2 linked regions of the Rhinolophus ferrumequinum genome follow. The protein of the gene in region 1 interacts with the protein of each later gene in a biochemical or structural test. Links are inferred from orthologs where the notes say so. Each region holds a gene or a part of one and is shown on either strand. Other genes may lie near its edges. The genes, in order: AXL and GAS6.

Region 1 (15,412 bases):
ACAAACCCTAACCCTACGCCCGCCTCTTCCACTATCCTTTTTCTCCTGCCTTCTCTAAGAAAAGAAACGAGAAGCATCTTTTTATTTGTTAATTATCTATTAAGGAAGCTTTTAAACAAAAGTAGAGAGACTAGTACAATAAACCCCACTGGCCTCATTTGGTAATCATCCCCTCTCTGCTATTTTTATACCGTTTTCTGCTAGTTTTATTTCATCCATCACCCTTATAATTATTTTTAAATCATTGAATATGCATTTCTAATAGTAAAGAACATCCCCCCACAAAGTTTTATTACGTGAATTTTCAAACATGCAGCAAAGTTGGGGGAATTACACGAGGAAGCCACCCACTCTTCCGTGTGCCACTGCCTGGATTTGGTTTGCTTTAGCACATTTCTATCCACCTGTCCATCCAGCTAACTTTGTTAGGCGTTTCAAAGTAAAATGCAGATACCAGTTTATCTGCCCCTGAATGCTTCATTCAGCAATGCATGTATCATTAAAGTCTTTTTTTCTAGTTTTCCACAATATTATCCCTTTATTTTATTTTATTTATATGTATTTATTTATTTTGGCTTAAGTTCTATAGAGGTAGCCCAGAACAGTGATATAGAGAATTGAAAGATGAGAGTAGGATCAGATCCTAACTTTGCCACTCTAAAGCTAATCACCCCTTGACTTAGAGTATAGCATCTAAAAGACTAAAATGTGAAAAATTCTGGGACTCAATCGGAACAAAATACAAGCTAAGTCCGTGGGTTTGCTATTATTACGGATTTTTTATGCATCAATGTTGTGGACAAAAAAAGGGCCACATACTAAACCTGACAAGTGTGGCGGGCCTTACAAACTCTGAGACTGAAAGTAACCACGCAGGATGGTCTGGACATAAAAATTCCTAACTAAAAGGGACTCATGGCGGGTAGTCCCATCCTAGGCCTGTAGCCTCCTTGACAAACATCAGTCTTTGCCTTAAGAAGCCTGTCTTTTTGCATCTAACATAACAAAGCTTTGAAATGTCAGAGTAATCTCTTTTTCCAGACCCCTGGGCACAAGCGCCAGCACCAGAGCGCGACATCACAGAACCCCTCTTGTTATCTTGTTCTCCGCATACCATCTCTGTGTACTACAAATGTTAATTCTTAACTATCCTGTACTCGCCAATGTAAAAGGAGTATGTGTCTCTCCGTTTTACTTTTTATACAATCCCAGAGATTTCCCTCTTTGCTTTCTCTCGTCCCCTTAATCTACCACCAATGGATTCCATGTAACCCTCCTTACGTCTCCTTTGATTCTAATGTCTAAAAGAAGCTGCAAAACTCCATTCTCTGGAGTGTTTCTCAGTCCGTTGAGATTTTGCTTCCCAGTGATTGTCAGTTTGGCTCAAACTCTCAAAAGTTCTCTAGGGGTGGCTGAATAGCTCAGTTGGTTAGAGCACAGTGCTCTTAACAAGGTTGCCGGTTCGATCCCCGCATGGGCCACTGTGAACTGTGCCCTCCACAACTAGATTGAAACAACTACTTGACTTGGAGTTGATGGGTCCTGGAAAGACACACTTAAATAAAGTTTTTTTTTTAAAGTTCTCTACAGGTTTGGACATTTCTTAACGGTGACATGAAAAGGAATGAATGAGGTTTAAGGTTTTCTCTTTTTAAACTAAGCAATGACTTGCTTTCCTTTTCACTCACAATTCACATTCAGGGAAATTTGGGATCAGAAATACAAGCAAACTCATTTAAGAAAGGATGGATTTTGCACTGCATCAATATGAAAGGTGACATGAGTTAGGCTGATTTCAGTTGCAAGCAAAATATAAACTCAAAATAGTTTAAGCAATAAAGTGTTATTGGACCCCAAAATAAAAGTATTTAGAATCTGTACAGTTTGTGTGTGTGTGTGTATGGTAAAATATGCATAACCATAGTTATCATTTTAACCATAAGTGTACAATTCGGTGGCATTAAATACATTCCCTGCGTAACCATCACCACTATCTCTACTCTCAAATTTCATTATCCCCAAAAAAGACTCGTAATTTTTTAAAACAATAGCTTGCCCTTTAAAAATTGCTTTTTAAAAGTCACAACCATACCCATTTTCACAGCTAACACACTGAGCAGTTCTGCCATCAGTGTTCTCAGATTCCTGACAGTCTCCTGAGTGTAATTTATAATTGGGTTTCTTCAAACAAGGGCCCAAGGCTCACCACATGTTGCCTTCGTTTAAACCATCTTAGGTCTTCTATGTCTGCAACCATTCCCCCACCTTTTGAGTGCCACTTATTTCTTGAAGAAACTGGGTCCTTTTTCCTGTACAATTTTTTCATATCCCGGATTTGGCAAGGGCCAGATTCTAACTTCCTGTGTTAAGGAAGAGACATCTTTGTGATGCCGCTCAAGCTGTCCTTCCATTCCCAGGAATTCCCTATAACCTGGGAATTAGATATGATTTGGGCTCATCTGGCAAGAGCTCCTCATTGGAGGTGCTGGTCCCTTCCTCGAGCATCACATCCTAATAAACAGTGGTACCGTAGTGCATCTAGGTCCTGACCCCTCTGGTAGAAAGTTTCCTGTTAACTTTCCACTTACTGGCTTTAGCAGAGGGGCCCTTTAAAACCAAATCAAATCAGGTCTGCTCAGAGCCACCCAGTGGGGACGCCTGGCGCACTGTTGGTGGGGATGTAAATTGGTGCAGCCACTGTAAAAAAACGGTATGGAAGTCCTTCAAGAAATTAAATATAAAATTACCATATGACCCAGCAATCCCACTTCTGAGTATATATCCAAAGGAAAAGAAATCAGTACCTCAAAGAGATATCTGCACCCCGTGGTCATGGCAGTATTCTTCACAATAGCCAAGACATAGAAACAACCTAAATGTCCACCATCAAATGAATGAATAAAGAAAATGTAATATACATTTGACCCTTGAAAAACGTGGGTAAGGGGCTACAACCCCCCCACCCCGTGTAGTTGAAAATCCATGTATAACTTTTTTAAAGTTTAATCAAATATTTTATTAAATCAAAAAAGGACAAGAAAATAGAATTAAGGGACAAAAACCAGATGAAACAAATAGCAAAATGGTAGACACAAGTCCAATTATCTTAATAATCATATTAAATGCAAATGGACCAAATATTTCAATCAAAAGGCAGAGATTCAGACTAAATATAAAAACAAGACCCAACTATATCGAGTCTACCAGAGGGTGCAATTTAAGTTTAGTCAACCCACATGATTGGATGTCCTCACCAAGCAAAGGTATCCTAGGGTGTCCAGATTTTGGCAATTGAGGACAAGTTATGAAAAAAAGAGCAGGTTTCTCTAAAATAGCAAGATTCAAGAGGACAGGACATAGACCTTAATAGGAAGAGTCAAAAAATCAGTAGCCATTTTTTAAAACATCCATAAGGATAAAACTACCTTTGCTATAGGTACGTGTGTAACTTTTGACTCCCCAAAAACTTAACTGCTAATAGCCTACTGTTGACTGGAAGCTTTACTGGTAATATAAACAGTTGATTAATGCATATTTTGTATGCTATATGTATTATATACTACTGTATTCTTACAATACAGTAACCTAGAGAAACTAAGATGTCAAGAGAGTCATAAGGAAGTGAAAATACATCTAGAATATTTATTGAAAAAAATCTGGGGGTGGCCGGATGGCTCAGTTGGTTAGAGCACAAGCTCTTAACAGCAAGGTTGCCAGTTCGATTCCCAGATGGGCCAGTGAACTGTGCCCTCCACAACTATGCCTTTCAACGTAGATTGAAAACAACAACTTGACATCCTGGAAAACTACACTATTCCCAAATATTCCCCAATTAAAAAAAAAAAATCTGCATATAACTGAACCTGCACAATTCAAACCTGTGTTGTTTGAGGGTCAGCTGAGTGTGTGTGTGTGTGTGTGTGTGTAAAATGTATAAAATGGAATATTATTCAACCATAAAAAGGAAATCCTACAACTTGTGACAATATGGATGGAACTTGAGGGTACTATGCCAAGTGAAATAAATCAGACAGAGAAAAGCAAATATTAATACTCTATGATCTTATGATCTTAGTTACTCATATATGTAGAATCTAAAAAAGCTGTACTCATAGAAACAGAGACAGATGTAATGTACAGCATGATGACATAGTTAATAATATTGTACAATACAATAATACTGTACTGTATATTTGAAAGTTGCTAAGAGAGTAGATCCTAAAAGTTTCCATCACCAGAAACAAAACTTTTGTAACTATATATGATGAGGGATGTTAACTAGACTTACTGTGGTAATCATTTTGCAGTATGTACGAATACTGAATTACTATGTTATACACCTGAAACAAATGTAATGTTATGTCAATTATATCTCAATAAAAATTAATTAATTAATTAATTAAAAAGAAACAAGGGGCAGAATGGTGATGGCCAGGGGCTGGGGAATGAGAGATATGAGAAGATGTTAGTCAAGGGTACAAACTTTCAGTTATAAAAATGAATAAGTTCAAGGATCTAATATATAACATGGTGATTATAGTTAATAATACTGTAGTGTATAATTGAAATTTACTAACAGAGTGGATCTTAAATGTTCTCACCACACACAAAAAATGGCAACTATTTGAGGTGATGGATGTGTTAACTAACTTTATTGTGGGAATCATTTCAAAATACATACATACAGCTCTTCCATTCTGCTGCCATCGCTGAAGAACCAGCAGCCAAAATGAAGTTCAACATTTTTGTGACTTCTGACCAGAGCAAGAACGGTAAAAGGCATTTCAATGCGCCTTCCCACATTCGCAGGAAGATTATGTCTTCTCTCTCCAAAGAGCTGAGACAGAAGTACAATGTCCGATCCGTGCCCATCCGAAAGGATGATAAAATACAAGTTGTACGAGGATATTACACAGGGCAGCAAATTGGCAAAGTAGTCCAGGGTTACAGGAAGAAATACGTCATCTACATCGAGCCGTGCAGTGGAAGAAGGCTAATGGCACAACTGTTCAGGGGGGCATTCACCCCAGCAAGGTGGTTATCACTAGACCAAAGCTGGACGAAAACCGTAAAAAGAACCTTAAATGGAAAGCCAAATCTTGCTAAGTAGGAAAGGAAAAGGGCAAATATAAGGAAGAAACAATTGAGAAGATGCAGGTATAAAGTAATCTTATGTACAGCTTTCATTAAAAACTGTTAAGATGAAAATGAAAATACGAGTGTGTGTGTGTGTGTGTGTGTGTGTGTGTGTGTATTAAATCATGTTATACACTTTAAGTTTGTTCAATTTTATTTGTCAATTATATCTCAATAAAGCCAGTGGGTTATGTCATTATTAAAATAGCCAAAGTTCTCGCTAGGCCAAGGCCCTCCCTGACCTCACCTCCTCCCTGACACCCATGCTTTTCAGCCACATGGGTCTCTTCCTTGAATTTCTGCACAGCCTACCTCCAGGCCTTTGCACTGTCTGTTATCTCTGCCTGGAATGCCCTTCCCTACATGACTCACTTGCTAATTTACTTCAGATCTTGATCATAACCTCAGAGAGGCCCTCCTTGGCCACCTTCTCTAAAATGATGCTCCCACACTTTGCTATTCTCTCCCCTGCTTTATTTTTCTTCACTGCTCATGTTGCATTCTGATAAATGCTTATCTGGTTGTTGTCACACTTTCCCTAGGAATATGAGCTCCATGAGAGCAGAGATTTGTCTTGCTCACTGTGGAATCTCCAGCCCATGGCACAGGGAACATTTCTATCCACCTCATTTTTTAAATGCATTTGATAGTAAATTGCAAAAATGAGGTCTGACCATTAAGTTCATGAACTCATCCTAGAACTAGTACTACATATCTCATTGTTGAATATCACTACGGTCACCTTCGAAATACTCCTCTTGGGAAGCTATGCACTGATGCCAGCATGTAGTCCATCCTTCAAAGCAACTTTGGAACTCTTTTTCTGGAATGGCCATCAGAGCTGTTGTCATATTACCCTTGATGTCTTGAATCTCATCCAAATGTCTTCCTTTCAATATTTCCTTTATCTTCGGGTAAAGAAAGAAGTCATTGGGAGCCAGATTATGTGAGTAGAAAGGGTGTTCCAATACAGTTATTTGTTTACTGACTAAAAACTCTCTCACAGACAGTGCCATGTGAGCTGGTGCATTGTCGTGATACAAGAGCCATGAATTGGCCAAAAGTCCAGGTGGTCTACCTTTTCACGCAGTCTTTTCAGCACTTCCAAATAGTAAGCTTGGTTAATTGTTTGTCCAGTTGGTACAAATTCACAATGACTAATTTCTCTGATATCAAAAAAGTTTAGCAACATTGTTTTGACTCTTGATTTGGACTGACAGAACTTTTTGGTCGTGAATTGGCTGACTTCCATCGTGCATTTTGATGCTTTGTTTCAGGGTCGTGTTGGTATACCCATGTTTCATCACCAATGATAACATTGTCCAAAACATCATCTTGCCTCTCCAAAAGATCTTGGCAAACTTCTACTCTCCTTTGCTTTTGTTCATCAGTGAGCTCCGTCGGGACCATTTTTGCAAACACCTTTCTGATACCAAGGTTTTCAGTTAAGATTTTCCTAACTGGAGGTTGATGGGTGGCTCAGTTGGTTAGAGTGCGAGTTCTGGGCAACAGGGCTGCTGGTTCGATTCCCACATTGGCCAGCAAGCTGCGCCCTCTGCAACTAGAATGAAGTCAATGAGCTGCCGCTGAGCTCCCGGGTAGCCAGATGGCTCAGTTGGTTGGAGCGTGGGCTTTCAACCACAATGTTGCCGGTTGGACTCCTGGACTCCTCGACTCCCACAGGCATGGTGGGCTCTGCCTGCAACTAAGATTGAACACGGCACCTTGAGCTGAGCTGCTGCTAAGCTCCCGGATGGCTCAGTTGCTTGGAGTGTGTCCTCTCAACCACAAGGGGTTGCCAGTTCGACTCCCGCAAGGGATGGTGGGCTGTGGCCCCCTGCATCTAACAATGGCTACTGGAGCTGAGTTGCACCCTCCACAACTAAAATTGAAAGGACAACAACTTGACTTGGGTGGAGCTGATGAGTCCTGGGAAAAACACACTACTGTTCCCCAATAAAAAGTCCTGGAAATACACACTGTTCCCCAATAAAATCCTTTTCCCCTTCCCCAATAAAATCTTAAAAAAAAAAAAAAAGATTTTCCTAACTGTTTTTCTATTGATGTTTACTTGGTCTGCTATGCTTCTCACCGTCAGCCGATGATTTTGATGCACAATTCGATGAATTTTTGCAATGTTTTCGTCAGTTCTGCTCGTTACTGGCCACCCTGACCTCTCTTCGTCAGTAACGCATTCTCTTCCCTCAGAAAAACGTTTAATCCGTTTGTACACTGCTGTTTTCTTCATGACATTATCCCCATAAACTTGGACTAACATGTCCCTGATTTCACTTGCACTCTTGCCAAGTTTAACAAGACATTTAATGTTTGTTCGTTGCTCTAATTCAAACCCAGACATTCTCGTGACAGCAGAGACCCCCATGTACAAAACACATAGGGGCATGAAAATGGACACATAGCAGAACCAACCCACAGGCACTGGATCTGCAAGGAGCAGGATACACAATCCCACCAGAGGGAGACCCCAATGCAAGTACACAGAGACACACAGATGAGATGCAAAAAAGTCAAGGGCACCTTGTCAGCTGTTGTCACCACAGTCACCATGTGCAAAGAACTGAATGTTCACTAACCCAGGACATCCTCCCTCTAGTCTGGTAAGTGGATTCTATTCTCATTCCCACCTTACAGATGGACAAACTGAGGTGCAGGGAGACCAGTCACTTCCAAGGTCACATGGTTCCTGGTAGGGCTGGGTTCCCAGCCTGGGTCTTTAGGCACCCCTGTGGGTGGCTCCCACAGAACAAGCTGTGGTCCTGTTTCTGCACCCAGGTGTGTCTTTTTTGCGTGAAGCTCTGGTCTCCCAGGAGTACCCTGAGTATACCCCAGGGATGCCCACCTAGCAGGTGTTCTCCTGGTTCTGGTTTCTGAGGTTTCTCCAGGAATGGAGTTCCTGACCCAACTTGTCTTCTGAATATGTCCCGTGGGCCGGCAGCGTGCCCCTGCGTGTCTTCTCCTGTCCCAGCCTCTGTGCTTCCATGACATCTATGTGTGTGTGTGTGTGTGTGTGTGTGTGTGTGTGTGTGTGTCCTTGTCTGAGGAGGAGCTGTGAGTGCGAGGGGAGTGTCGGGCTGGGGCTGGGCTAGGGGTGGAGGCCCGGGAGGGGGGGCTCACACAGGCTGAGAGGGGAGTGGAGTTCTGGAGGAATGTTTACCGGACACCAAGAGAGCCCAGAGGGACAGCGCCCAGAGCTGGTAGAGAGACGCACAGCCTCCCAGTCTCGCTGGCCCAGCTGGCCCAGACTTAGGGGCGCAGCCACCAGGGCCCCTTCTCTTCCTCAGCCTCCCTTCAGGGCCCCTTTAAGACGGCTGGTCCTCTTCTCTCTAAGTTAACCCCTCAAAGTCCAGGTGTCCCCTGGGCTCCAGGCCTGGTGGGCGGAGGCAGGGGGAGCCAGGGGCGGGGGAGAAAAGGTTTGACGAGATCTGGGAGGGAGAGAAGAGGCCGAGGAGCAGGAAGGCAGCCACCAAGAGGAGCCGGGAGGCGTCCCTGCCTTGCCAGTCGGACAGTGCCAAAGCCGGGGAGCGTGGAGCTGGGGGGAGGGCCGGGGACAGCCCGGCCCTGCCCCCTCCCCCACGGTGTGCCCAACAACTTCTGAGGAAAGTTTGGCAGAGAAGCCGCGAGCGCGGTGCCCGGAGGATGGGCAGGGTCCCGCTGGCCCTGTGGTTGGCGCTGTGCTGCTGGGGGTGCGTGGTCCCCAAGGGTGAGTGATGGGGGCTTGTGGGGGAAGACCACCCGTGGAGGGGCTGAGGCAGAAGGGAGCGGAGGGGGGTGGATGGCAGGTGAGTCCTGCGCTGGCTCAGGGAAATTCCTTGGGACAACAGAGGGAAACAGGGAGACACAGACAAACCCAGAGACCAGGGACAGAAGGGGTTCCAAGAGAGGAACAGAGGGACAAGAAACAGAAACTAGGAGGGTCAGAGACGGGAAGAGATGGACCGACAGAAAGACAGACACCCAGGAGAAGCTGAGGGCAGGGGTGGGAGCTGCACTTGAATGGGGGGCCCTGGGGAGAGAGTCTGAGATGGGGGCTGAGAGGGAAGGAATGTTCCAGAAAGGAGCACTCAGTCAGACAGCGAGGCGAGGAGGGCTTGAGAACCCTAGGGAAAACCCTGGTACAGTCACTCCTCCACTTGTTGCTGCCCCACCACTGTCTCTGTCTGCTCCATCTCTGGGGTGGGGTGCCTGGATCTGGCTCCAGCTCTGCCATCTCTTTCCCTGTCTCCCTGTCTCTGTCTTTGTTTCTCCCCATTTTCTAGATGTCTCTATCAGTGTCTCTCTCAGTCTCTGTTTCCCTTTGTGTGTCTCTCCCCCCACGTTTTTCCCCTCTGGGGTGTCTCTCTCTTCAGCTCTCATTCCCGCTCTCTCTCCGGGTCTCTGCTTCTCTCTATCTCTGATTCCCAGTGGCCCTGACTCTCTCTCTCTCTCTCTCTCCCTTTTCTTCCCGCCATTCACCAGCCTGATTTATCAAGTCTCTAGAGACCCTAAAAGAGGGCATGGGGGCAAGGGCTGGCCCTGAAGGCAGTCTGGGGCGTGGGAGGCTGCCAGATCCCGGGCCTACTTCCCAACGATGAAGGATGGAGGCTGGACAAGGATGGAGGCCGGACCCCAGTCTCCTGGGAAGGCTCCCATCCTCCCCTCAAAGCCTCCTCCCTCCACCCCCCGTTGAGGTCACTCTACAACTATGTGGGCCTAAAGGCCTAGCAGGGTCCTGGCAGCCTTAGGCAGGCCAGGAGGGCTGGAACTGAGGAGTGGAGGGAAGCGGGGGCTCCTACGCTGACTCTTCCCCATCTTCCTGCAGGCTCACAGGCGGAGGTGGACCCCTTTGTAGGGAGCCCGGGGAACATCACTGGTGCCCGGGGACTCACAGGGGCCCTTCAGTGTGAGCTCCTGGTTCGTGAGGATCCCCCTGAGGTGACCTGGCTTCGGGATGGACAGGTCCTAGACCTGGTGGACAGCACCCAGATCCAAGTGCCCCTGGACGAAGACGGAGAGGATGACTGGAAAGTGATCAGCCAACTCAGGTGACCAGTTTCTCCCTGACCAGTCATGCCCTACGTTCCCCTTGACCCCTGTGCCCCCATGTCCGTCATATGGTGGGTGAAGAGTCACCTGCAGGAGCTCCACCTGATTTAGAACCCTAGTCTGGCTACTCAATAGCTGTGTGGCTTTGAGCATGTGACGTAATGCTGGGTTTCGCTTTCCTCTTCTGCAAAATGAGTTAATTATAGTGCCCGCTGCTTAGCTCTCATGAGTTTCCAGTCCAGGTCCCCCTCTTTCAGTTCTGATGACCCCTTCCCAGTGTCCAGCTCTAACCTGAACTCTTCTGTCCCTCCTTTGTCCCTGTCAGAATCTCGTCCCTGCAGCTCTCGGACACGGGATGGTACCAGTGTGCGGTGGTCCTGGGAGGAAGGACCTTCGTGTCCCAGCCTGGCTTTGTCGGGCTGGAGGGTGAGCCCTGGGCTCAGAGGTCATGGGAGGTCAGGAATCCAGAGAGGTTAGAAGGTGCTGGAGGATTCAGCATGTTCCCTGGCATTCCAGCCTAGAAATGTCAGAGATCTTGGGGGGTCAGGGGGACAGGGCTAGGTGGAATTACATGTCCTGGGGAAGAAGACATCTTGGGGGTTGTTGGATGTCCTGGGGTCAGTCATGGTTGGAGTAGGACATTCTGGAATCAGATAAGGAGTCAGAGGCATGACAACCCTCGCCCTCATCCCCAGGGGCCTCCCTTCCTCGTTGGTAAAATTAGAAGTCAGACATTCTGCAAAAGAGACATGAACGGATCAAATATCTTGGGGATCCCACATTGGTCGGGGGAAGTCAGATATTGGGATCATGTGTCCTGGGGACAGAGACCTGAGGGGACAGATATAGGGGTTAAAGACCCTATAGCCTCCAATAACTTAGCAGTAAAACAGACACCTGTGGGGCTCAGAGGGATCCCAGCCTCTACCACCGCCCCCCACCCAGGCTTGCCCTACTTCCTGGAGGAGCCTGAGGACAGGACTGTGGCCGCCAACACCCCCTTTAACCTGAGCTGCCGGGCCCAGGGACCTCCAGAGCCTGTGGACCTACTCTGGCTCCAGGATGCTGTCCCCCTGGCTCCGGCCACGGGCCACGGCCCCCACCACATACTGCATGTTCCAGGTGAGTATGGATATATGGCCAGGTCAGTGCAGAAGCCTTGGAAGGATGGAAGTGGCGGGCAAGGGAGCCCTTCATGCCTGTGTGTGTCTGTCTGTCCCTCTGTGGTCTGTCTGTCTCTGTCCCTGTGTCTCTCTTTGTCTCTGACTCTGCCTCTGCATCTCTGCTCCTGTCTACCTCCTCTGTTCTCTCCGTATGCTTTCTCCATCTCTTTGTGTCTCTGTTCTCCATCTCTCTTGGTTTCTCTGTGTCTCTGCTCTTTTTCCCTCCATTTACCCCAGACTCTCTCTGAATAGAATTCTTTGTCTTGGGTTTCCTCTGAGCTGTTCCATGGCCCATAGTGTCTGTGGGCCCAATGGTCCTTTGTCAGCACTAGACCCCAAGCAGGGCACTGGAATCAACCATGCCTTCCTCTCTTCCACCTCCCCCAACCTGCCCACCTCTGTTACTGAAGGGCCCCACTGGGGCAAAGAGTGGGGAAAAAGTGGGAGGCAGAGAAAAAACAGTTACAGAGAGAAAGAAAACCAGGGACACAAGAAGAAACAGACCACAGGGGTAACCCGCGATGGAGAGACAGGACAGGAAGGTCTGTCCCTCAGGGTAACCATCCCCAGGCAGGGTCACTCCAGCCTCAGGGTAACCGTCCCCTTCCACACCACACAGACGAGGCAGGACCTAGCTTGGGGTCACACAGAGGCCAGAGGCAGTGCTAGGGGACTGAAGTAGCAGGGGTTCCCCCTCACTGAGGAAGGAGAGAGGGACATAGAAGAGTGAGGCTCAGTCAGTCAGAAGGAAATGGCTGGACTCCAAAGGGTATCAGCTTCCGTGTGCTGGGATGGGGAGGGGACTTCTGACCTAGGGTCTCCTGGGGTAGAGGGAGGTGCCCACATTCCCAGCATTCCAGGGGCCCTAAGTGTGCAAGGAAGTGGTGGTGAGCATGCCAACCCCCAGAAAGGTGACTCAGGGCCCCGGCTTTGGGGCCTGAGTCAGCCTGGTAGGATCCTGGAGTGGGGGTGGGGGAGGGGGCTGGTTCCCCCACACCGTCCCAGGAAGAAGGAGAACTGGGGGTGGGGGGGACCACATGGTACCACTGTGTGGTGGAGCTGTGTGTGTGTGTGTGTGTGTGTGTGTGTGTGTGCGCGCGCGGGGGGGAAGCCGTGTGTGTCCGTGTCCCTCTCCACGTGTGTCTCGGTGTCTGTTAGCATCAACCTCTTTGCACGAGGGTGTGTCTTAGAGAGGGTAGCTTCTGTGGTTGTTTCTGTGTGTGTGTGTGTGTGTGTGTGTGTGAGATTCACAGCAGGTAGTAACAGCACCCTTCTGCTTCTGTCTGGCCTGAGTGGCCTTTTGGTGGATGAACATGGGCGCTGAGCAGCCAGTGTGTAAAGTGTGTCTGTGCCGTCCGTGTGCACATGGCAGCTTCTTCACACTTGTGTGTCTGCCGTAACCCTACGTGTGTGTGCGCTTTTGTATTAGTCGGCATCTCGGTGAATGTGTCTGAAGCATCCTGAGTCTGTCCAGCTGTGTTTTGAAGGCTTGGCTGTGCTTGTGTGTGAGCAAACCCACATGAACTTTTTTGGGTCCTGGTGTGTACCTGTCTGTCTGCTTCAGCCTCGATGTATGATTGTCGCTGGGTGTGTGCGTTTCAATATGCAGGGAGGTTTGTTTGTCTGTCAGCAGCAGCCTAGGTGTGTGTTATCTTGCTAGGTGTTTGTAGTCAATGTATGCGCATTTGATCATATGTTTATGTTTGTGTCTCTTCCTGTATATGTGTCACTGTCAGCCCCTGTGTGTATACATGTAAGTCACTGAGTGTATATTTGTCACTATATGTGTGAGAGCATCAGCCCTGCGTGTAGCTTAGTGAGTGCTGCATTTTCTGGTTTTGTGCCAACAGTCACTGTGTGTTAAGCGTGATTCATTAAGTGTGTGTGGAGGGGGCTGTCTCGGGGAATTTCATCCGTTTGTGTGTGTCTGTCCCTCAGTCTGACTCAGTACATGCTCCCTTTCTCCTTCCATCGCTCTCATTCCATCGGAAAAAGCACAGGGTGGGGGGAGCAGCAGGAGCAGAGGGGAGCTGGACAGTGCATCTGGAAAGCGCATCTGCTCCAGTCATGAAGGGAGAGCCTGCTGGAGGGGAGGGGTCCCAGACCCCTTTGTCCCTGCTCTTTTTCTCTCTCTCGCTCTCCCTCAAGGTGCTGGGGCCTGGGAAGGGGGATCCTGGGCTGTGCCCCACAAGGCCAGCTGAAAGTGCGCAGGGAAGGGGGGGCTCCTGGTGACTCACTCATGCGGGGGCAGGAATGCTGCGGTTGGAACAGGACCGGGCTCCAGGACCCCCCTCCTGCCCAGGGCTCCTCTAGTGGGCAGCGGGAGCTCCCGTGCAGTGACCCTGACGGGTCCCCACGTGCCAGGTGCCTGGACAAAACCCAGGCTCCCTGCCCCCGCGGGCTGTCGGCCTGCCCGGGGCTGTCATGTCCCTCCCCCAGGCAGCGGGGGTTGCGGGCGGGCACCTGACCTTGGCTGGGAACTGGCGTCTGGGCAGAGGAGCTGAGGACCTTCCCTGCCCACCCCCTTCCGGCCTCTGCCGACTTTCCCTTCTTCCACTCCCTCTGCTGACTAAGAATAGGAAACTTTGTGTCTGCGGGTAGATGGTGGTGGTGGGAACACAGGCACACACGCGCAGAACAAGCACAAGAGACATACGCAAGCTCCCAACATCCCCAGCCACACATCAGCACAGAAATACCGACAGGCACAGAACTTCAGTCACACATACAGACTTAAGACGTGGTCCTCCTTTCATCAGGTCACCCAGACAGCGTGTGTGTGTGTGTGTGTGTGTGTGTGTGTGTGTGTGCGCATCTGTGTATATTGTGTGGCTGTGTGTGTTGTGTATCTGTGTGTCTGTGCTTCTTATGTTGGTCTCTGTACTTGTATGTGCGTGTGTGTGTGTGTTGTCTGTCTGCCCATCTGTCTGCCTGCCTGTGTTCCCACCACTACCACAATGGGGAGGGGAGGTAGGTAATCCGCCCCCATCCACACCCAGAAACGCTCATAAGTACATAAATTCATTCATTCATTCAACAAACATTGGTGGAGCACCTACTGTGTGCCAGGCCATCTTAGGCCCAGGGGATACAGCAGGGGATGAGATAGACAGAAATCCCTGCCCTCCTGGAGCTGACATGCTAGTGGAGTTGACAGTGAACAAGGTACACAAATCATATGTAAAGTATATTGTGATGAGAAGAGCCAAAGAGAAAAAGTAAAGCCGGAAAAATGCTAATATGGAGGGAGGTTCCAATTTTAAACAAGGTGCTCAGGGGACAGAATGACTAAGAAGGTGGGACCTGAGTAACAAATGTGAAGGAGTGGGGAGTGAGCCATGGGGATGTCTGTGGGAAGATTGTTCCAAGCAGAGGGAGCAGAAGTGTAAAGTTCCCAAGGGGGGTACATGCTTGATGTGTGCTTTCAAGAATCACCAGGAGGCCGAGTGGCTAGACCCGAGCAGAGTGACCGAGTCGGTGAGGGGTGTGGGGTAGGAGCCGAGCTTATAAATGAATAAATACCTCTATTCTATATTTACACTCACCCATGAGGGCCTATTTCTTAAGTGTCTGTTCAGTGGCTATGCCTCTATGTTTGTCTTTGTGTGTATGTGTCCATGTGTCTAGCCATGAGCATGTTTCTGTATGTGAGTATGTGTTTCTGTGTGTGTCTATGTGTACAACTGTATATTAGTATATGTGTCTATATCTATGCATACATGTGTTTCTGTGTGTGTGCCTATGTATAATTGTGTATCTGTGTGTGTCTATGTGGATACGTATGAGTATGCGTGTCTTGGTGTGTGAGAGTGTTTCTAAGTGTGTCTATGGGTATGTATGAGTATGTAGTATGTGTGTCTCTGTCTGTGCATAAGTGTGTATATACGTGTGTGTGTACCTGCGTATGTGTATGACTATGTGTTTGTGAGTGAATTCATGTCTGTGTGTGCAGGTCTCTATCTGTGCGCGTGTGTGTGCCTGTGTGTGTCTGCACGTATGTGTGTCTATGTGGTGGGGTGTTAGGGCTGAGGCCCAGGCCTGTTGCTGTGTTTGGGATGGAAGCCTATGTC
Region 2 (14,905 bases), on another chromosome or scaffold:
CAAGGTGAGGGACCTGGGCTCACTTCTTACTGGACCTCAAAGTTGCAGAGAGACGAGTATGAGCACACGTGTCTGTGTATGTGTGGGTGTGTGACTATATGTGTCTGTATGTGTTCTATGTGTCTGTGTGGGCTGTGACTGTGTCTGTGTGTGTCTGTATGCATGTATGTGTCTGAGTGTCTGTGTATGTGTGGGTACAGGACTGTGTATGCGTGTACATGTGTGTGTGTGCCTGAGTGTGTGTAGGTGTGTATGTGCATATGTTGAGAGGGTTGCTATCAAGGCAGAGTGGGGTGCTGGGGGCAGGTGGGCAGCAGCTATCCTGGAGGTGACACAGCCAGTGTCACCACTCCAGCCAGGGGACCGGCATTGCACAGGAAAGTCACTGGGAGTGACAAGGTACTCCTCCTCCCTCCCCACCCTCCTGCAGGGCCCACTTCTGCCCTCATGAGATCCCTGAGGCCACGCCAGAAAGGCAAGATTTGAGGGAGGGTCTTTCACCTCTGTAGGGGGTCCTCCTATCCAAGCTGTCCCCAAATAATCTGGAACCTCAGGAAGATGGGTGTCCTTGGAGGGCAGACGCAGTTCAAGACATGGCCAGCAGCACTGTAGGGTTCTGAAACTGACTGTACCCCTAAACCCTCTGAAGTAGAAACCCCATCACCACAGCTGGGTCCACTATGTCTGTGAGAGCTGGAACGGGGGGAATGGGGGTGAAGTAGAGAGAGATGGGTGCAGAGACAAAGAGGGCGAGAGGTATATATGTGTGTATATATATATATATATATATATATATATATATAGAGAGAGAGAGAGAGAGAGAGAGAGAGAGAGAGAGACAGAGAGACACGGGGGTGGGAGAGACGCCCTCCAACACGAGCCAGTGGCCATGCATGCTGTGAATTCTCAGGGTGTATCACCAGCCAGTTACTAATATTGTAATTATTGTTGTTTGTATCTCAAATTAAACCAGGTGGTGGGGTCAAAAACTGCAACCTGGAATTGTTTTCCTATCAGCGTCATGGCTTAGCTGCAGGAGCAAGCACCAGGTGTTGCCAGGTGGTGACATGTACCTGGGCAGCAGGTCAGGCAGGGGTAAACTTTTATCCAGAATGCTTTCCAGAAGCAAAGGATAATCACTGAGATGGTGTCTTTAAAGTGTCTGGAACCCACTTGCCTTAAAGAATTTAAGTAGAAAGGTGACTCTTCTGGGCTGGCCTGGGTGAGCTTTCAGAAGAACTCAGGAGAATCCCAGCAGAGACAGCTGGGGGATTGACGACCCATGGTCCCAGAAGGCAGAAAAACAAGGGAGAGGGAAATACCAGGAAGAGAGAATAACATAAAAGGAAACAAGATAAGGAGGGAATGTAATCACCCCTTGGACTCTGGAGAGGAGGGACAGGGATTAGCAGTGGCAACCATGGGTGGCCGGGCACTCCCCTAGAGCCTGAAAGAATGTGGCTGGGAGACCATTTGGCCCCTCCATGCCAGAGGGAGATCATCTGCCCCCAGGAAGGAAGCTGGTGGCCAAGATGTGAGACTCAAGAAGGCACCACCAGCCCCACCCCACCCCACCCAGTTTCCCTTCCTTTCCAGCACAAGTGTGTGATAACCTCAGGAATTGTGCTAACAGCTAACTGCTAAAAGGAGAAGAGCTTTAAAAGTCAGGCACCTTCCCTCCCCAAAAAGAGGAAGACAGCCCAGTTTGGAAAGATCCAGATCAGAAAGGAAAACCTAGAGCACACCCAACACAGAGCATGTGCTCAACAAACACAAACCTCCAAATTTCAGTAAGGGGATTTGCAGCCTATAGAGCTGGATCCAGGTGCCCAAGCCCCCCGCCCCCAGCTCTCCCAGTCCCTCCCTGGGGCTTCCTCTACCAGGGTACCGTACCCCCAGAGTCCCAGGAATGGCAACAGGAGAGGTAGTACAGCAGGAAAGAGAAGTGTTGTAAACTCCGTCAAAGGTAGAGCCTAAGCTGGGCAAGTGTGTCTACAACTGGGCCAGACATTGAGGACAGGCCAGCCACTTCCAGCACCCTAACCTGGTAGACAGTGAGGCGGGGCAGGTGGAATCAGCCATGAAGGTGGCCCTGGTTTGTGAGGACTGGCATCTCCTACAAGCACCACTATGAGACAGTCAGGTGATCACAATTCAAGAAACGCCAATTCTGGGGCAGCCATTCACATTAGGGCACTGTGGCCCTCGAGGTCCTGTGGCAGTCACACGGCCAGGTCCTGGGCACTTCTTAAACTAAATAAGGTCAGTGTTCACCATCCTGGTGACCATCAGCCTCAATATAAAAAAAAAAAAATGCAAAATGAGCTACTTTTGGAGCAAGGAATAAATATTTCCTAGTGAGAGCCCCAAACTTTTTGGAGCAGAGGAACTCATTGGCTATTTCGCAGGACTGCCTCTTTCAAAAGTGCTGTTTTTACTATGATACATTAGCAATGAATTGTATTTGGAGGGTCTCTCCACCCCAGAGAGCATGGAGCTCCCCAAAGCAAGGAGTTGGATGAAATGGAAAATATGGACATTGAAGTGGACAACTGGTCTACCGGAGCAGCTGGGACTCGAATCAACCCCATGACCTCTAACTCTGACTCCTGACCCCAACCCTAATCTGGCTCCTCTCAGCATTCTACACTGCCTCTCTGGGAAAAGGAAAACAAGCCAAGGGCCAAATCCAGACAGAGCACATGGTCTAGACAACAGTCTACACAAGATGCAAGGTTCAAGTTAAAATGAAGGGCTTGCAATCCAACTGATTGGGAGGGAAGATACAGAAGTAACCAGTCCAACCTGGGAAGCTGATAAATAACAAAAGATACTTACTATTTGGGGGTCAGTGTTGGGAAGGAGGATAGAATTCTAGAAAATTATAAAATGCTTTGATATGAAAAGGAGTTTACAAACTCCTGATGGGACCAGACTGTGAGAGAGGACGCCACCCGCAGCCTTAAAGCAACTCGGCTATGCCTCGGAAGGGAGGGAAAGCCAAGCTCTCACAGGAAAGAGCAAAGTCCCTGCACGCAGACCCACTCTGAAAGAACAATGGTTGCGTTCAAGTTATGGGATTGAGAACACTTTTTTTTCCTCATCTTCACTCCATACATTTGCAAATAAAGTTAAAATGATAACATAACAGCAATTACAGTCAGAGACAGGATAAACATTCTGAGAAAAGTGGCACTGTGGTTAATGGGTAGTATGTCCAGACAGCAAGGGAAAGCCGGGCCAGGGTTTTTCTGTCCTGGTAAACTGGGGTGGGGGCAGGGAAAGGGCTGGTTGGGTGGATGGCAGCCTTGTTACTCTCAACTCTTGTCGCCTGCAAGCCCCATCCCACATTTTCTGCACAAGCAACAGTCCAGAGTAGGCATGGGGATAGAGAACACTGCACCTGTCATACAATTCCATAACTGGGCAGTGACCTTGGGTGGCCAGGCACACAGCCCTGCTGCTAGGACCTTCAGAAATCCTCTGCAGGAGCATGATTCACTGAGTCACCAGGATTCATCATTAAGAAACGGGGAAACAGTGGGGTCAGTAAAGACTGGCAAACCTGCTACATACAACTGTGTTGCTATTGACACTGAAAGCAGTGACAATGGAGAAAATAACGCTACCATAGCTAGAGAGCTGCACAAAAGAGTCAATAATTTTAAAGCCAGTTTTCAGAAAGAGGACTTAAAAGGGATTGTCAAGTCAACCAATCAGAAATATAAGTCGAAAAGAAGCCTACTTCAGTCACACAGAGCCATTCGTTTATTGCATGTGACATTTATTTCATTCCAGAGGAATTCTTTAAAAGCAAAAAATCTGACAGAACCCAAAACAGCTGTGAAATCACCCTGATCTCACAGCATAAAGTGACGTAATGTAAGTCCACCCCACTTCTATCACTTCTATTTTCCCAAGTTATTTGCTCTGTAACAGATATCTAGGGCTTCCGTTAGGTCCCACAGGTCATAACCACCACAAATGTTCTTACACATCTCCTGTCCCTTAAGATCACACAGCTCCTGCACAGACCAAGTCCACACCTGAGCTGCTCTCTGCAGTTGGCTGCCTGGCGCCCCACATTCTCCAAGGACATTATTAATAGAAATAAGTCCTGAGCCAGCACCATCAGGCTCCTGAAGTCACCAGATGCTTCTAAAGGAGCATCTTGCTGAAAGGGGCTGGTGCCTGTGTGTGAGGGGGAGCTTTTGCACTTTCCTCCCTTAGGTCCCCCTGACTCTGTGCCCCCTCCCCTCCATCCTACCTCCCCCCAATATATGGTCTAGCACTATTCCTGTAATCATATTTTAGGACCTGCTACTGCAAGCAATTCTAGCCCTCACATCTTTCACTTCCTCTTTCTGGCAAACCCTCCATCCTCTCCATGAGGTTCAAGAAGCCTGGACAGCCCCACCCCTCACCTCCAATCCAGCTAAGGCGGAGGGAAGGTACGAAGCTGTTTGGGTTTTTTAACCAAGGCATTTCTTTTACATTTTACAAACGGCCTCTCTTGCCTTCTGGCGGAGGGGCCATATATAGCGTATTTCCTTTACGGTGTCTGCCTCTAGAGGTCTGATAATGAAGGGAACTAACTGCAGGGGCTCCACAGGACCCCGCTCAAAGATGTGCTCCTGCCTCCAGCTAACCAGAGCACCTGGGGGTCACCTGGAGAATTGAGGCTCAAAAGGTGCGGAGGACGCTTGAGGGCGGGCCGGGATTCCGACACCCTAAATCCTTGCCCTTTCACTATTCCTGAACACGATGTCTCCATATTTAAGAGTTCAGAGTGTGACTTGTAGCCCCCACATGAGGGACTCACCGTAGAGTCTGGGAAGGGAACTCTGGGGTGCCTGGGGAACCCCGGGGCTCCCCACCAGGGCGCGCACTGATGGATGTCCCCAGAAATGCGGTGCTGCAGGGACAGCGCTCGAGGTGACCTGTCGGCCCTAGAGCTCCGCACGGCAGTCCCGCCCAGCCGCGGCGCACACCTCCCACCTGCCCACCTCCCCGGCACAGCGCTGGCGCATCCGGCCCCCGCGCTCACCGTCTCGGGGTCGTTCTCGAACACCTCCCGGGCCTCCTCCTTGCTGCACAGCTCCTCGATGCATTCCCTCTCCAGGTGGCCCTGCTTGGCCTCCTCGAAGACCTGGTAGGCGCGGCGCTGCCTGGGCCGCAGGAACTGAGCCGCCTCGCGCGCCCGCAGCATCACGGCTGCACCGATGCCGGCGGGAGGACGCAGCGGGGAGAGAGCGAAGAGAGAGCCGGGACACGCTGTTAACCCGGGCCCCGCACGCTCGGTCCTCCCAGCAGCGGGCCTGGGGATGCGGTGGCTGGGCGGGAGCGCACCGGCCGGGGGAGCACGGGGACCGGTTGGGGTGCGGGCACTGGCTCTGCCCTTGTCCCGGGGGTGGCGGGATCTTTTGAGGGAGGGTCTCTCGATCCAGCCAGCGCCGCGGCCCCTACGCGGTACTCACTGTGCGCAGACTCCGAGGCCAGCAGGAGCAGCAGCAGCGCGGTGCCCAGGGCGGTGGCAGGTCCGGGCGGCGGCGGCATGGCGAGGACCGGGCCAAGGGCCAGGGAAGCGGACCGGGGACGGGAGACGGGCGGGCAGCCGGGAGCGCGCGCGGTCAGAGCGCCCGGGAGGCCGTGGCGAGCCGCGGGCGCCGCGGGGCGGTGGCTCCGGTCATCCTGTGCAGGCGGCTCTGAAGGTCACATCACGGCGGCGGCTGCACCTCGGGCTCGCAGCCGGTCTGGGCGGAGGCCGCGGCGCGGCCGGGGGTGGCCGGGGCGGGGCGCGCGGCCGGGGGCAGGACTGGCCTCGGGGCCGCGCCGGGCGGGCGGGGCCGCCAGCTCCCACCAGCCTCCCGGCGCCCGAGCAGGTTTTAGCTATGAAGATCAAAGATTGAAGGGGAAACAGGTCATCGGGGCGTGGCGACTTTACAGGCGGGCTGCTGAAACTAGTGCGCCCCGGAGGAATTTCTCCGGAGTCGCGATTGATTGTATTAATTCGGAAGGGGAAAAGGACAGAAGAAATAACACCCAGGTACAACGTGACCAAGTACAAGTTGACCAGTTAGCAGATTTAAACCTCCCTCCCCATCCCACCGCCCTCAACCCAAGTCTACCACATCCTTTGTGGATTCTTCATTCTTGGGTAGATTTTCTCAAGACTTAAAACCCACCAAAGAAAAGATAAACCGAGGTCAAACTGAATCCCAATGGGGACCGGGGAGTGACATTAAGTTATTTCCTTTTGTAATCTTTGTTTTCCATAATAATGACATTGAAAACCTTGAGGTTTCCCAGTGGATATTTAAGCTGAAAGCAACATTGTGCTTGTTCACAGATACCAAGACTTTCTGTCTCTCCTCCCGGGATAGTTCGCAAAGTCACAGGCAAAAAACACCAAAAGAAACCAACACATAGCAGACCACTCAAAGGGGACCACAGCAGGCAATGCAGCAGGAGCGGAGGCCTGAACCCTGCCTCTGGAGAAAACTGCTCTGGACACACCTCCTCCCCTATGCACTCAAAATGATGAGAAAAGGGGCAGTGAGTCATCTCCACCCCAAACGGTTGGTCATTTTGCTTGGTGGGTTCAACACAGACAGTCTGGACCTCTCAGTTGCCGCTCCCCTTCTGTAGTAGGAGAAGGAAATAGCGTTGCTGGTAGAATTCTTTAAGGTCATTGGTTTGAAGGTGGGGTTAATGCACATTAATATGTTAAATTCTGGGAAATTAATGTTCTTGAGGACCATCTTCAAAGAATTGACAATTTAAAAGATAAGCCAGGGGTGGGGGGAAAAATTGAATAAAAAAATAAAAGATAAGCCATCTGTACCTGTGTCTGAACTAGAGTAACAAGGCACTTCTTTGTCAGCTAGCAACTCAAATGCAGCCTAGTGATGACAGCACCCAGCAAACACCACGGAGCTTAGAAAGACTATTGTATTTGAGAACATCTATCTATTATTTCTCAGGGGTTCTAAGCTAGCAGCCCATGGATAGATCTCAAGATGTGTGTGAATTCCTAGAAATTGTTTGCAGTGTTTTTCTCCGTTATTTGTGTGTTTGGAGAAGACAGTTTATAGAGTCTATGCAGTTCTCAGTTTGATCTGAATAAGAATGAGCATTCTGGCCTCTATGTATGTCCCTCTGGGAGGGTCTGCCTGGGTGTCAACCCACTGCTTCAGGTGACCAGGCATCAGTATGGCCACACTGGACAGTCTTTCAGGTCCCCTGACCTGTTAGCCCGGACCTCACTCCCCTTTTCCATATTCCCCATTCACTCCTACTGAATTGGTATCCCAATAATCATGACACCTCCCGTTACATAGAGACTTCATTTAATAAAAAGCATTCACAGACACTCGCTCATTTTGATTCTGATAACTGCGGAATGCAGAAAGCAATCATGGGGAGCAGTGGAGGATGCTTGACCCAAGCTAAGGCCCAATTTTTCAACCTAGTTACGAATGCATAAAATTTACTCTAAGGCAGAAATAGAAAATGAATAAGAAACAATTTGGATAAGGTGTTCCAAAATCAGAAAGAGTTGTCAGGCACTATATTATATACCTTGAAATAGCAATGATGAAGTAGACAGTTCACCTCCACAAGGGGCAGGTTAGACTCGGGGCAATGGATGCTTTATATCAGGGGTGTCCAAACTGCGGCTCATGGGCCAACTACGGCCCGCAATCCATTTTTAATTGGCCCGCAACAAATTCCAAAACTATATTTGGTTTACATAAATAAACCAGGTGAGGAAATACGTACTTCACCTCGAGTGAGTGGCCCGGCTGTTTGTGTATTTTACCGCATATGGCCCTTGGTGAAAAACGTTGAAAAAACTTTGGACACCCCTGCTTTATATGGACAACCAGCCCATGATCAGGAGGTGGAAAGCCAGTGGTTCCTCTTTCCAAGGATAAACGGGGATGAAAGTATGGAGGTGAGGTAGGAGGTAAGGTAGGAAATGAGGTGTTTGTAGAGAAATGAAACTTCTCCGTTCGCCGTTCTGTCATCACATCTGTGGGTGATTTCAAGGTAATAAGACCATTCATTTAGGTATCCACTCGATAAATGTGAGTTGAGTACAGTTAACTCTTGAACAACATGGGGAGGGGGGTAGCCAACTCCCCCCCACAGTCAAAAATCCACCTATAACTTTTGACTCCCCAGAAACTTAATTAACAACAGTCATTCCTAGGTATCCAAGGGGGATTGGTTCCATGAACCCCTTTGGATACCAAAATCTGTAGATGGTCAAAAATCCCTTATATAAAATGGCATAGAACAATGCATACAGTCAGCCCTCCACATCCGTGAATTTCCAACCCTGGATCGAAAACACTGTTTTCGATCTGTGGTTGGTTGAACCTGCAGATGTGAAACCTGGGGATATGGAGGACAAAATGTATTTTATTGAAAACCATCCATGTGCAGGACCCACCTGCACAGTTCATACCTGTGTTGTTCAAGCAACTGTACTTGCTATTTGTCTTAAAAGACACTGTGCTGAGTGCTGACCAAACCAATCATATTTGGGTTTTGTTTGTTTTTTAAACAGCTTTGCTGAGATGTAGTGAAAATACAACCAACTCCACACATAAGTTTCGACACATCAATGATATATGTATATACCTGAGAAACCACCAGCACAATCAAGTTAAGAACATACCCATCACTCAAAAACAGTTCCTCATTCCCTCTGGTCATCCGTCTCTTCTGAACGTCTTTGCCCCATCCTCATCTCCATCCCTAGGCAAAACCACCGGCCCGCTTTCTGTCACTATGGAACAGTGGGCATTTTCTGGAATTTTTACATAAACGGCATCATACGGTATGCAGACTTTTTTGTCTGTTTTTTTTTCACTCAGCATATTTTCAGGTTTGTCTGCATTGTTGTGTATATCAATAGTTTATTCCTTTCTATTGCTCAGTAGTATTTTGTTGTATGGATCTGCCACAATTTGTTTATCATTTTTGTTTCCAGTTATTGGCTATTACCAATAAAGTAGCTATGAACATTGTATACAAGTTATTGTATGCATATAAACTTTCATTTCTCTTGGGGAAATATTAAGAGCAGAATGATTGGACCATGTGATAGGTATTTGCTTAACTTTTTAAGAAACTGACAAAATGTTTTTCAAAGCGATTACCATTTTACATTCCAACCAGCAGTGTGAGAATTCCAGCTGCTGTAGTTAGTCGTTAATTTTAGGCATTTCTAGTAGTTAGGTGTATAGTGGTATCTCATTGTGGCTTGAATTTGCATTTTTCTGATACTAATGATGTTGTTTAATGTGCTTATTGCCATCCAAATGTAGTTTTTGATGAAGTGTCTGTTTAAATTTTCTTATCTTTTTTTCTTTTACTTGGGATGTTTCCTTTTCCAATTATTGAATTATTTGATGCGTTATAAGAGTTCTTTAAATATTCTGGATACAAGTCCTTTATCAGATGTGCGATTACCACATAGTTTCTTCTTTCAGTCTGTGACTTTTCTTTTCATTCCATTAAATAATGAAAACTCTGCTTTTCAAAGAACAGAGTTCTTAATTTTGAAGTACAGTTTCTATAATTTTTAATGAAGTCTGCCTTTGGGATTATATTTTCCTAATCTAAGGTCACAAAGATGTTCTTAATTTTATAGATTTAAGTTTTACATTTATGGTTATGATTCATTTTGAATGTGTTCCTAAATATTTTATATTTTTCATCCTATTGCAAATTTTTAAATTTCAATTTCTGATTCTTTAAACATTTGATTTTTGTATATTTGTCTTCTACAACTTTGCTTAACTAAATTATTAATTTCAATGTTTTTTTTGGTAGATTCAATAGGATTTTTTACATAGATAATTATGCAAAATAACAAGATGATTATTTGTAAATATAGACATTTTACTTCCTTCTTTCAAATCTGGGTGATTTTACTCCTTTTCTTGCTTTATTGTCTGTCTAGTAACCTCCATTACAATGTTGACTAGAAATCATGACAGTGGATATGTCTGTCTTGTTCCTGACCCTAGGGAAATAATTCAGTATTTCATCATTAAGCATAATGTTAGCTGTAGGATTTTCAGAGATGCTTTTTATCGATATGAGGCAGTTCCTTTCTATTTCTAATTTTATGCAAGGTTTTTTAAAATTAGTAATAGATATTGGGTTTTGTCAAATTCTTTTTCTGCATCTAGTGAGACAATCATATGTTTCTTCTTTTTTTGTACTCATTAAAATGTGAGTTGTCTTGATTGATTTTCAAATGTTAAATAAACCTTGCATCCCTGGGATAAACCCCAGTTGGTCATTTTATAAACTATGGTTGGATTCAGTTTGCAATATTTTTGTTAAGAATCTTTGCTTCCATGTTATGAGGGTATTTCTTTTCTTTTTAGAATAGACTATTTTTCTTTTATTTATTTATTTTAAGATTTTTAATTAAAATACAGCTAGCATACAATATTATATTAGTTTCAGGTATACATCATAGTTATTCAACAGTACCCACCTCGTACTATACAGTGTTATTACCACATTATTGATTTTATTTCCTATGCTAAAGAAGTGATCACCATGATAAGTCCAGCAACCATCTGACACTGTACCACACTATCACAATATTATTGCTCTTTTCCCCCCTTTTTAAATTTTTCTTTTTTGAATTTATTGGGGTGACAATTGTTAGTGAAATTACATAGATTTCAGGTGTAAAATTCTGTATTACATCATTTATAAATCCCATTGTGTGTTCACCACCCAGAGTCAGTTCTCCGTCCATCACCATATATTTGATCCCCCTTACCCTCATCTTCCACCCCCCACCCCCCTTACCCTCTGGTAACCACTAAACTATTGTCTGTGTCAATGAGTTTTTGTTTCTCATTTGTTTGTCTTGTTCTTTTGTTGTTTTTGGTTTATATACCACATATCAGTGAGATCATATGGTTCTCTGCTTTTTCTGTCTGACTTATTTCACTTAGCATCATACTCTCAAGATCCATCAATGTTGTCACAAATGTTCCTATATCATCTTTTCTTACCACCGAATAGTATTCCATTATGTATATATACCACAACTTCTTTATCCATTATCTATCGAAGGACATTTTGGTTGTTTCCATGTCTTGGCCACCATAAACAAAGCTGCGATGAACATTGGAGCACATGTGTCTTTATGTATAAATGTTTTCAGATTTTTTGAGTAGATACCCAGGAGAGGGATTGCTGGGTCATATGGTAATTCTATTCGTAATTTTTTTGGGAACCTCCACACTGCCTTCCATAACGGCTGCACCAGTCTGCATTCCCACCAACAGTGTATGAGGGTTCCTTTTTCTCCACAGCCTCTCCAACACTTGTTACTATTTGTCTTGTTGATGGTAGCCATTCTGACTGGGGTGAGGTGATATCTCATTGTGGTTTTTATTTGCATTTCTCTGATAATTAGTGATGTTGAGCATTTTTTCATATGTCTATTTGCCATTTGTATGTCCTCTTTGGAGAAATGTCTCTTCAGGTCCTCTAAATTTTTCAATTAGAGTTGACATTCAATATTATTTTATATTAGTTTCAAGTATATAGTATAGTGGTTAGACATTTATATAATTTAGGAAGTGATCTCCCTGACTAGTTCCACCTGGCACTATACATAGTTATTACCATATTATTGATTATATTCCTTATACTTTACATCTCCATGACTATTTTGTAACTATCAATTTGTATTTCTTAATACCTTCACCTTTTTCACCCTGCCCCCAACCCCATCACCCTGATAGATCTAGTACCTATCTGGCACCATACATAGTTATTACAATGTTATTGACTATATTCCTTATGCTATAACCTACATCCCCATGACTACTATGTAACAACCAATTTATACTTCTTAATCCCTTCCTCTTTGCAACTATCCCTAACCCCACTTCGTTCTTAAAGAAGTCCCTCTAAGATTCCTTGTAATACTGGTTTGGTGGTGATGAACTCCTTTAGCTTTTTCTTGTCTGGAAAGCTCCTTATCTGTCCTTCAATTCTAAATGATAACTTTGCTGGGTAGAGTAATCTTGGTTGTAAGTCCTTGCTTTTCATCACTTATATTTCCTGCCAATCCCTTCTGGTCTGCAAAGTTTCTGTTGAGAAATCAGCTGACAGTCTTATGGGGGCTCCCTTATAGGTAACTAACTGCTTTTCTCTTGCTACTTTTAAGATTCTCTCTTTGTCTTTAACCTTTGGCATTTTAATTATGATGTGTCTTGGTGTTGGCCTTTTTGGGTTCATCTTGTTTGGGACTCTCTGTACTTTCTGGGCTTGTATATCTATTTCCTTCACCAGGTTAGGAAAGTTTTCTGTCATTATTTCTTCAAATAGGTTTTCAATTCCTTGTGCTCGCTCTTGTCCTTCTGGTACCTCTATGATGAAAATGTTCATATGCTTGATATTGTCCCAGAGGCCCCTTAAACTCTCCTCAATTTTTTGGATTCTTTTTGCTGTTCTGGTTGGGTGTTTTCTACTACTTTATCTTCTATATCACTGGTTGGATCCTCTGTTCATGGAATCTACTTTTGATTCCCTGTGATATAGTCTTCATTTCTGTTATTGTATTCTTTATTTCTGACTGGTTCTTTTTCATGTTTTCTATCTCCATTTTTATGTTTCCTATCTCTTTGTTAAAGTTCTCCCTGAGATCATTGAACATCCTTATAACCAACGTTTGGAACTCTGCGTCTGGTAGATTGCCTTTCTTCATTTTGTTTAGTCCTTTTTCTGGAGCTTTGTTCTGTTCCTTTATTTGAGATATGTTTCTTTGATTCCTCATTTTGGCTGCCTCCCTGTGTTTGCTTCTCTGTATTAGGTAGGGCTGCTATGTCTCCCAGTCTTAGTAGAATGTTCTTATGTAGTGGGTGTGCTATAGGGCGTGGTGGTGCAGTCCTTTCTGGTCACCTGAGCCGCATACTCCGGGTGTGTCCCTTGTGTGGATTGTGTGTGCCCTCCTCTTGTAGTTGAGCCTTGGTTGATAATTGCACATCAATGGGTGCTCAATGGGCTCACTGGTTGTGAGGAATGGCCATAACTACAGTGGAAGAATTGTTGTGCAGGGACTGATAATACAGAGCAGGAATTCCCTCAGCAGCACCCTGGTGCCTGCCCAATCTGCCCCATGGGTGTGTCATTTTTGGAGGTGGCTGGGTGATATACCAACTAATTTTGAAGCTGTCCACTGGGGGTTAGCCCCAAGACCACCTTGGAAGAGATCCACTGTAGGTCAATTTCAGCCACAGCCCCTGCTCCACCTGGAGCCACCTAGTGGGAGCCAGAAAGAAATCCACAGATGGCTGCCGCCTGTGCCATGCTTGAAAGTGCGTAGAGAGGCCAAGCTGTGAACCAAGGCTGGCTTCTGCTAGTGCTGAGCTTAGGGCTGCTCAGCCAGAGGTATAGGACACGCTCAAGCCTGATGCTGCTTTCTGGGTTCCATGAAGCTTTGAGAGACCCTAGGAACATCTGCAGCATGAGCTAAGGCAGGCAGTTTGTATGAAAAAGCCTCTGGAAGTGGCTTGGGTGTGTCTGAAAGTTGGTGGGGCAGGGTCTCAAATCACCAGGGTGTGGCAAACAAACAGCAGAGACTCAGATACCTGGCAGATTCAGATACCCCGCCCTGCGTGCGCATGCCAGGAAGGGGGATGGCTCAACAAAGAAACAATGACATCTGCCAGCTACTCTGTCCAGGAGAAAGCCACCTCTCCAGCCCCTGTCCCAAGGCAGACAACTCAGTTCTCCACCATAGGTCCCTACCACCTTTCCAGCTGCTGCCCCAGCACTGAAGCTCAGAGCGAGTGATTCCGTGGGTGGGAAAATCCGTGCAATGTTCCTTTAAGAGGAGCATCTGGGACTCTAGCCACCCTCTGTCTCACTCAGTCACAATGTCCGCTGGTTTTCACAACCAGAAATTATGGGGTTTTTCTCTCTCTGGCACTAGAACCCAGGGCTGGGGTGGGGCTAGGACCTCTTGCTCCTCTGAGGGGTGGGAGGGACCTCCACAGATGAAATATCCTCCTGATCTTTAATGGTCACACACAGGTGTGGGACCAACCTGTTCTGAGTCTTTACCCATCCTACCCGTCTGGAGGTGGCTTCTTATGTGTGTCCTAAGTTGTAGGGCTTCAGTTCAGCAAGAATTTAGGTGATTCTCAATGATGGTTGTTTTGTAATTTAGTTGTAATTTTGATGTGGTCATGAAAGAAAGTAAGCACAGTGTTTACCTACTGCTCCATCTTGGTATTCTCTTGGGTATTTTTTTTTTTTGTATTATTGTTATCTGGTTTGGTATCCAAGAATTTCTGGCTTCACAAAATTAGTTGGTAAGTGTTTCTTCCATGTTTTGCAACCCAATGATAGGTCTTGAAATCAATTTATTATTTTGTTAACCAGCAGTTTTTTAACGATGCAGAATAGAATAGAGGATATCAGAGTTTATTAGATGTTAGTTCTTCATTTCCACTCTATTTATTTTCTGAGTGTGCACTGGGTCATGATGTAAAATGTATTTATTACTGTGGGTGTGGTCAAAAAGTTTGGAAAACACTGCTTACCATGGTGAATGAAAGTGATCAGACCTCATTAAGGTGAAAAATCCCTTTATGGAGAAGTCCTCCAGGGCCTACCCTGAAGGTGACCCTCTTGTTCCTGTTTTTCCAGGAATGGTTTCATTTTTAACATCAAAAGTCCTGGGTCCTAGGACCCCCTTGGCACAGGACATACCAAGAGGTTGCAACAATTATGGTTGTCTGCCATAATGTGGTTTAGTGCCAAAAATAAGTACTTTTATGGAATGCTGTAGGGATCTTTCCATAGAAACAACATCCATTTCTGCCTACCATGGACTGATTAACCTTTC

What was found.
Region 2: the proteins of AXL (region 1) and GAS6 form a complex in vitro, tested with the Homo sapiens proteins (2 studies listed by BioGRID and IntAct, with this or other methods). The link is inferred for Rhinolophus ferrumequinum from reciprocal best matches to the Homo sapiens genes AXL and GAS6.

Annotation. Positions count from the first base shown.
Region 1 is NC_046298.1:39,558,260-39,573,671, forward strand, and holds the start of AXL (tyrosine-protein kinase receptor UFO), read left to right. Parts: upstream 1-8,294; 5' UTR 8,295-8,793; coding exon 8,794-8,857; intron 8,858-9,955; coding exon 9,956-10,178; intron 10,179-10,504; coding exon 10,505-10,605; intron 10,606-11,124; coding exon 11,125-11,301; intron 11,302-15,412. UniProt on the Homo sapiens protein: Receptor tyrosine kinase that transduces signals from the extracellular matrix into the cytoplasm by binding growth factor GAS6 and which is thus regulating many physiological processes including cell survival, cell proliferation, migration and differentiation.
Region 2 is NC_046287.1:56,166,706-56,181,610, forward strand, and holds the start of GAS6 (growth arrest-specific protein 6), read right to left. Parts: upstream 5,743-14,905; 5' UTR 5,557-5,742; coding exon 5,478-5,556; intron 5,215-5,477; coding exon 5,048-5,214; intron 1-5,047. UniProt on the Homo sapiens protein: Ligand for tyrosine-protein kinase receptors AXL, TYRO3 and MER whose signaling is implicated in cell growth and survival, cell adhesion and cell migration.